Linked DNA regions of Rattus norvegicus. The protein of the gene in region 1 binds, or shares a complex with, the protein of each later gene. Links are inferred from orthologs where the notes say so. Each region holds a gene or a part of one and is shown in the gene's direction. Other genes may lie near its edges.

Evidence for each region. The genes of interacting proteins can lie anywhere in the genome.
Region 2: the proteins of Il1a (region 1) and S100a13 are in contact, whole or in part, in an NMR structure (PDB 2L5X), measured with the Homo sapiens proteins. The link is inferred for Rattus norvegicus from reciprocal best matches to the Homo sapiens genes IL1A and S100A13. Residues at the interface, in NP_000566.3 of Homo sapiens: Asn148, Gln150, Tyr151, Thr194, Ala195, Gln196, Asp197, Leu203, Leu204, Lys205, Glu206, Met207, Gly216, Ser217, Glu218, Thr219, Asn220, His239; in NP_001019381.1 of Homo sapiens: Met1, Arg25, Gln26, Glu27, Gly28, Arg29, Lys30, Asp31, Ser34, Asp68, Ser69, Glu70, Lys72, Phe73.

What each region holds. Positions count from the first base shown.
Region 1 is NC_086021.1:136,987,218-136,991,303, reverse strand, and holds the start of Il1a (interleukin-1 alpha), read left to right. Parts: upstream 1-1,286; 5' UTR 1,287-1,339; intron 1,340-1,372; exon of another isoform or gene 1,373-1,741; intron 1,742-2,040; 5' UTR 2,041-2,048; coding exon 2,049-2,095; intron 2,096-3,186; coding exon 3,187-3,235; intron 3,236-4,086. UniProt on the Homo sapiens protein: Cytokine constitutively present intracellularly in nearly all resting non-hematopoietic cells that plays an important role in inflammation and bridges the innate and adaptive immune systems.
Region 2 is NC_086020.1:178,300,020-178,304,014, forward strand, and holds the end of S100a13 (protein S100-A13), read left to right. Parts: intron 1-3,260; coding exon 3,261-3,404; 3' UTR 3,405-3,495; downstream 3,496-3,995. UniProt on the Homo sapiens protein: Plays a role in the export of proteins that lack a signal peptide and are secreted by an alternative pathway. Binds two calcium ions per subunit. Binds one copper ion. Binding of one copper ion does not interfere with calcium binding.

The sequences.
Region 1 (4,086 bases):
AGCTTTGGCTCCAGTCTACTTCTGTGCTTGTCCTTCCTTCCCTTACGTAGGATACCACTCATCTTTGAATTTTGTTTATAAATATAACAAGAGGAGGGACAGACTGGACAGCCACATTGGAACTGGAGAGTTTACATATGCAATAGAACCAAAGAACATCTAAACAGCTCCACTCTGTGATTTAAAAGGGCCAGAGGGCGTGGTTCATCCAACTCACGTAAGCTGCTTTACTCCTAGCCTCACAGTTTTGTGTTTGGTTTGGTTTGATTTTTATTCCATGTTTCAGTGGTTTGCTTTTCTCTCTTTGCCACTTTTTTCTTTCCTTGTCTACCACCCACTTCCTTTATTTAAAAGTTACACGGCTTAAATGCCAAGTAGAAAAGCTGAAACACTGCTTTGCTGAGAGTCTATCTCTTAGACTGGCCTGGCGTCTAGGAACTGAAACTGTTTCTAATAAAAAGGCAATGCTGATCTGTGTAAGAATCCATACCTTCCTCTCCCACAACCCCCACTCCTGGGCTGAGGCACTCCCCTGGCTGGGACTTTGTCCCTGCCTCCAAAAGTGGGCAGCTTATCCTCTCTCCTGAACTATCCTGAAGGACACTAGGTAGTGGGACAGAGCTACTTTACCATGATGTGGCTGGGGCTGACAACTCTCCTCTGAAGCTGTCGTCTCTGTAGGAAGTGCGTTAATACTGTTTAAAGGAGTAAGAGGGCCCAGGTCTTTATGTTCAGTGTCACTTTTACCTCCTTTACCTTTAACCAGAAGGCCATTGTTTTATACGTGGACTGCTGACTTATTCAAGCAAATTTTACCCTTCAAAGAGGGGTGGGGAGCTCATTTTTCCCTCAAATGCCCTGCCTTAGCTGCCAATTATCCCTCCCATCTGTATTCAGTCCTGGGGCACAATAAACAAATTAGACCAAAACACAAAGTACAACTATGGAGCACCTGTCCTAGTCCGACTCCCGCTCCGATTTGAGGATGTCTCCTTTCCTCTTCCATTGGTGAGCTTCCTGCCACTCTTCCCTTTTTGTAAGACTACATGTTTATAGTCACATGGAGCAAGCGAGAAATAGGCAGATCAAGCCAACAGCCCGCAGAGTCTTTGCAAGCAACATTATTACCAGTGTATAATCTGTCCTTCTAGCCCGTATCAAGAAGAATGAACACAGAAAGATACGAAGCAGAATTGTTTCCTGTAAATTCCCAATGACACACACTCATGACCACACCTACTACTTGAGGAAGACTATAAAGACAGAGAGAAGCCTGACTCAGACTTAAAGTCTCCAGGGCACAGAGGGAGTCAACTCATTGGCGCTTGAGTCGGCAAAGGTATTGTCCTTATCCCATCTGAGGCTATGAGAATTGTCTTTTGTTTGCTCCTCGACTGTCCTCTCTCAAGACATCTTTCGTAAGGAAAATGGTCTCTTCTTCTCTCCTCCCTCCTCCTCCTCCTCCTCCTCCTCCTCCTCCTCCTCCTCCTCCTCCTCTTCCTCTTCATCTTCTCTTGTCTGATTTAGAGCAGGGGCTGGAGTGAGAGGCTCAGAAAAGAATTCTCTTTCTAGTGATAGAGAACTTAGGGAGCAGCTGAACAAGATTCACGTGAGCGAGTCTATCAGCAAAGCTGAACCATTTTCTGGAGATCGGACATCTCTCCTGACAAAAATGAAAGAGACCAGCAGGTTCCCACTCTGTGTCTCCCTTGCCTCTATATAAGGCAGACACCTCACTCAGGTGATTTTAATTTTTTTCCTTATTCTGTTCAACTTTTACTAAGTGCCTACTATGTGTGAGGCGATAGACTGGACACAAAGAATACCAAGTTAGAGAAAACATTCTTGAAAACAAGCTAGTGGAAAAGATAAAAGCATACAGAAATAATGTAAGGGAGGATGAAGGAGAATAGAGGAAATGCTGAACATGTGATAAGTCACTACTGTAGTTTCTCAAGAAGAGCAAAGCAGGGTCATTGCCCTTGCAAGCACAGGGTTTAGAGGTGGACTGAGCTGACAGCCACTGGTGTTCTCTTGCAGAAATCAAGATGGCCAAAGTTCCTGACTTGTTTGAAGACCTAAAGAACTGCTATAGGTAAGAAACGGAGTCTTCCTTTTTTGATTCAATGAAGGGCACAAGACTCTTTTGAATCCGAATTAACTAAGAGTTAATGTGACCAGTCAGGGGACAGGCTGGCAGAGGCTATGGAGATATACATTGACCCTGAAGTCCTGAGGACAGAGAAGACCTAGAAAGACCAGGCATCCGTCATACTAAAAGGATATTTCATTGGCAGGAAAAAACGGAAATTGTAGAAAATTATTTTTGAGGTATACTGAATCTGACATAATTTTATATCAACATCAACGTAGGCACTCTAAAGAGTCAGCAGTGGGTTTTAATGAGCTATTTGAGAGAGAATCCATTCTCAAGAGAACCTGTTCCCAGTCAAAGGAGGTAACGGCTCTCGGGCACATGGATTCACACTCATCGTCAAACCTTACCCTGATACAAAAGACAAAAGAGCAGAGAGTTGAAATTCTAGAACATTCTTAACTAATATGATGTTCTTGTTGTTTACAATTAATGCTAATGCTAATAAAGCTACAAAATGTTAAACAGTAAATGTTTTGGTGAAGACATGAAAGTAAGTAGCGTATGACAAAGTACGCCTGTGATGCATCAAACCCTTTTCTTTTAAAGACCTTAAGTCTTCCCTGAGGTTCTGTTAAGACTCTGGTTCATTAGTCATGCCTGATTTTTTATAAAGCACAAAGCTGTTCTAATAATTACTAATTTCAAATTAGTGACAAATAAATTACTATGTGTATAGTAGACATGAATGTACAGAAGTCTTTAACTTTTCCAAGAGTAATGATCGTGTGTGTGTGTGTGTGTGTGTGTGTGTGTGTGTGTGTGTGTGTGTGTGTTCATGTACTCAGTTACTGTGGAGCTTACTCTCATCCTAACAGGACTCAAGTTCTCCTAAGGATGGATTAGCTCTTAGACATCCACTAAAAGTCATTACTGTGTTAGAGCGTTTGAATTCAATGGTGCCTGTGCCTAAATCAGTTTTTAGGAATGTTGTCTGTGTTACCCAAAGTTAATGTGTTAAGTTAGATATGATACTCACTGACCACAGTAAAATAATGGACAAAATATAGTCTCATATTCTTTTTTGACAGTGAAAATGAAGAATACAGTTCTGCCATTGACCATCTGTCTCTGAATCAGGTAAGTACATAATTAGCATTCTTATAGATCTGGGCTCTCTTTTTCTTCCTTTTCTTTCACTCTAGATCCTCTACCAGAGAAGCACAATGAGCATTGAGTAGTATACACTTGTGTTTCCCTGTCATAAATGAGACACTTGCCTCTTCATGCCAGTAGTTAACTGACATTCTTCCTACTCATTTGCTTTTCCGGAATAGAGATCTATCTGAACCCCTAAGAGCTGGGCCAGGCTCCTTCAAAATATTAACTTTGTTCTCCCTAGCCAGTTGTTTCAGTCCAACTCACCTGGGTCTGTCTCTTAACAGACCTAAGGCTAGAGACAACCAGATAGCCCACAGAGCTGAGGTAAAGGAGGCTAGCCAGGAGAAATTAAATGTTACACACACAGACACACACACACACACACACACACACACACACACACACACACACCAGGTCATATCATTTTGTGTGTCTGTGATACTAGCTTTAAAAGCTGCTTTCAGAAGAACAGTTATACCAAAGGCATCCATGGGAGCTTAGAATCAAGGGAGACCACCTTCTTCAGATGCTCAAGTCCCATATATTAAATGACCCTCTATTTGTATAAAGTATGTATGCATGCATTCTCAAGTGACTTTAAATCATATCCAAGTGTCCTAACCAGACCTGCCACAATGCAGACGCTGTGGAAACAATTCTTATGCTTATGAAGCAATGGTTAGATTATTTAGGAAATAAAAAATGCACATGTGCAGTACAGATGTCATTTATTTCTAGAAAATATTTTGACTCTTAAGGCTGGTTGAATTTGAGAATGCAGGCAGGCAAAACAGAGGGCCAAATGTATTTTCTAAAATATTTTAAGCACT
Region 2 (3,995 bases), on another chromosome or scaffold:
TGTTTGTCCCAGGCTGGCTTTGAACTTGAGATCCTCCTGCATTTTCTTCCCAGGTGCTAGGATTACAGGCGGACAATGCCTCACCAATATCTTTTCTTTTTCATTTCCTTCCTTCTTTCCTTCCTTCCTTCCTTCCTTCCTTCCTTCCTTCCTTCCTCCTACCTTCCTCCCTCCCTTCCTCCCTCTCTCCTTTCCTCTTTCTTTCTTTCTTTCTTTCTTTCTTTCTTTCTTTCTTTCTTTCTTTCTTTCTTTCTTCCTTCCTCTTTCTTTCTTTCTTTCTTTCTTTCTTTCTTTCTTTCTTTCTTTCTTTCTTTCTTCCTTTCTCTCTCTCTTTCTCTCTCTCTTTCTTTCTTTCTTTCTTTCTTTCTTTCTTTCTTTCTTTCTTTCTTTCTTTCTTCCTTTCTTTCCTTCTTTCTGAAACAGGGCCTCTTTGTGTAGCCCTAGCTGTCCTGGAATTTAATGAACCATATCACATCTCCCCAGCCCTTTTAAAAATACTGAGCCCCTCACCCTGTTATTACTGTGTATTCTCGTTAGTCTTGACCTCACTCTAAAACAGGCTGAGCTCCTACTCACAGCAATCTTCCTTCCTCAGCCTCCTAAGTGCTGGCATTACAAGAGCACCACAACCCATTTGTATTTACTTAAATTCTTATTTCTTCTGAATTTTACTGGCAAGTTTGATATGTTTACTTTTCAAGAAGAACCCCCACCCTTTTTATTTATTTGCTTATTTGATTTTCAGATCTTTTAAGACAGAGCCATCATTATATAGCTTTAGCTGATCTAGAACTCACTATGCCAAGCTGGCCTTGAACTTACAGTGGTCCTTATGTCCTGGACTCCCACCTGACTGGGATTTTCAGGCATTTGACACTACCCCTGACTCATAGCATTTTATTATGTTAAAAAATCCAGTAAATATTTAACTTAGGGTCACATCAGTCACGCTTAAGAGGAAGCTGCCATCTTTACCCTATGGAGTCTCTCCAAGGTGTGCACTTTAAGTGAACTGTGTCAGAACTGGGCTGAAGTCCCGGACACCTGGCTGCTCTCTGCCAGAGAGTTGCTTGGTATGAATACCCACCCGTAGCTGGCGTTAGGAGTGTTTTGTGTTGAAGCTGGGCTTGGTGGTGCACACATGCAATCCCAGCACGTGAGAGGTGAAGGCAGGAGGATCAGGACCTCAAGGTCCTTCTCAGCTATCCAGAGGGCTTAAGGCCAGCTTAGACCACGTGAGACCCCGCCTCAGGAAACAACCAAACCAGAGTGATCTGTGGTGACACCAGGTATGGAAGCACATGACTGTAATTCCACATCATTGCAAAAGCAGCTTTCAAAGGGAATAAGAAATAGTTTATTCAGAGCCAATTATGAGTAACCATGGCTAGAACTAGGAATGGGGTTGCCTGGAATGACACATTAGAAAGTGGAAGTAGTAGGGTTGGGGATTTGGCTCAGAGGTAGAGCGCTTGCCTAGGAAGCGCAAGGCCCTGGGTTCGGTCCCCAGCTCCGAAAAAAAGAATCAAAAAAAAAAAAACAAAACATTTGAAATAGCCCAGGCAGGCCTTGAACGCTGGATTCTCAGCCTTGGATGGCTGAGATTACTGTCATGCACAACCAGGCTGGCTCATTTCTAATAGTTTTTTTTTTTTTTTTTTTTTTGAGGGGGCAGGGTGCAGGCAGGGAGGAAAGACACAGAACAGTAGATGGGAATTGAATCGCTGATTTAGAAAACCTGGGTTTGAGCTGGAACGATGGCTTAATGGTTAAGAGCACTGACTGCCCTTCCAGAGGACCAGGATTTAATTCCATTGCTCCATGATGGCTCACCTTTGTCTATGCTCCAGTTGAGGGGATCCACATCCTCTTTTGGCCTCAACAGGCACAGGCACGCACATGGTGCAAAATACCCTCATATATAAAATAAAAAATAAAATAAAATGAAAGAGAGAGAGAGAGAGAGAGAGAGAGAGAGAGAGAGCGAGCGAGCGAGCGCGAGCGAGCGAGCAGTGTACTGGATTCAAATACAGGTTCCGGCTGTTCATTTGTGCTTGGCACCAGTATCTGATTTTTCTGAGGTTTAAGTTTCTCATTTGTTAGGCAGACTTGTCACACCTTTCTTGTTCAATTAGTGATGTATTTATTTAACCCGTACTTATTGAAGACTACTCTGTCTTTTCCTGTTTTGATGAACAAACTTCAGCTGTGTACTTGACACTGAATGTACGGTGTCGAACAACATAGACAAGGTCCTTGTGCTACCATGGAGGCTGTCATCCTAGTAGAGCATGAGGATCAAATGAAATAAATAAATAATATAGGATCACCACGCCTGGAATCAAGGACCTAAGACTGCTTGCCTCTCTCCCCCTTGGCTGCACTCTTTCCTTCAGCTGGTAGTGGAAGTGTTGTCCAATGACTGAGCTTATGCTGCTGCTATAAAACCACACTAGGAATTTGCTTCCTGTCATCTAGAGATCTGTTTGGCAGATCTTTGCCTTTCTCCAAATGTTGACTCAAAGGTTGAGCATGGGGGCTGGAGAGATGGCTCAGTGAGTATGCACACTGCCCTTGCAAAGGACCCAGGTTCAATTCCCAGCACCCATGTGGCAGCTTACAACCATCCGTAATTCCTGTTCAGATATTCTCTTCTGACCTCTGTGAGCACCAGGCATGTGTATGGTATACGTACATTCCACGTGTTGGCAAAGCGCCCATATGTATAAAATCAAATGAATAAACCTAAAAACCAAAACACCCCCTTACACCCCCAAATATCTCCCAGCACTGAGAATCAAGCTCCATTTGAGGCATCCTTCAATCTGACATCCACCAGTTGTTCAACAGTGGCATTTATGTTGTAATTGTTTATCTGGCAACAAATCCTTTCATCATGAAGGCCGGCTTACAGAACCTATTGGTTTCATAGCCATGACACTCTTTGTCAAGAGGACCCTAGAAAGCCAGATAACCTGGTATTTTTGCGATTCCCCTGACCTAATGGGTGGTGACTACATTGAGAAGACATTAGAGTGACGCGAATGGCCAGCAGGGGCAGTAGTGGAGGAGGAAGGTAGTTTACAATCAGCCAGAGTGTCTGCTCATGTCCCTTGGATATAGGACTTCCAGGCAGTGCAGTCCTGGAACCTTATCCTTCAGACCAGGATTAGCCGTTGGCGCTGTCTGAGGGAAGGCACCTGTACTTCCCTTTCTCCCTGCCCCGAGAGCCCTAACCTTTCCCTTTTACATCTTCTTAGGATGTGGGTTCTCTAGACGAAAAGATGAAGAGCTTGGACGTGAATCAGGATTCGGAGCTGAAGTTCAATGAGTACTGGAGACTGATTGGGGAACTGGCAAAGGAAATCAGGAAGGAGAAGGTCCTGGCGATTCGCAAGAAGTAAAGTCTGCTGTCGGGATGGGGGCCAGCAGGGCCTGCTGGGCAGGGCCAGGCAGCACTCCATTCCCCCAATAAAGCTTCCTTCCTGAAACAGAGATGCTTATTTTTATGTACCACTCTGATTTCTTTTCTTGAGACTGGGAGATGGGAATGTTCCATTTTTACCTGAGATGGAAACATGGAAATCATGGGTACTTTGAAGACAAGGAGTGGGGTTCCTCTTCAAATATCCTACAGCATCTAGAACTATGCGATTTTTTTAAAGATTTAATTTAATTAATTTTTATTTTTGTTTTTGTTCCTCTGTTGTTGAGGACAGAACTCAGGTCCTTGAGTGTGTGTGGCATAGTAAAATCTTGCACTAAGTAGGTGCTCAATAAATACATAGTTGATGAGCAAAAAAAGTACAGAGATTTGAGGCAGGCAAGGCAGCTTTTGGGACTCACCTCCACGTCTCTAGTTCTCAGTTTCTTCTATATAACTGCTAGAGTTTGCCCTTTGGTTTGTAATAATGAACATCACTAAACGTTTTAACTGTATTACCCTAGTCAACTGTCACAGCTGTTAAGGTTAATTAATTCAATTGATTTTTGCA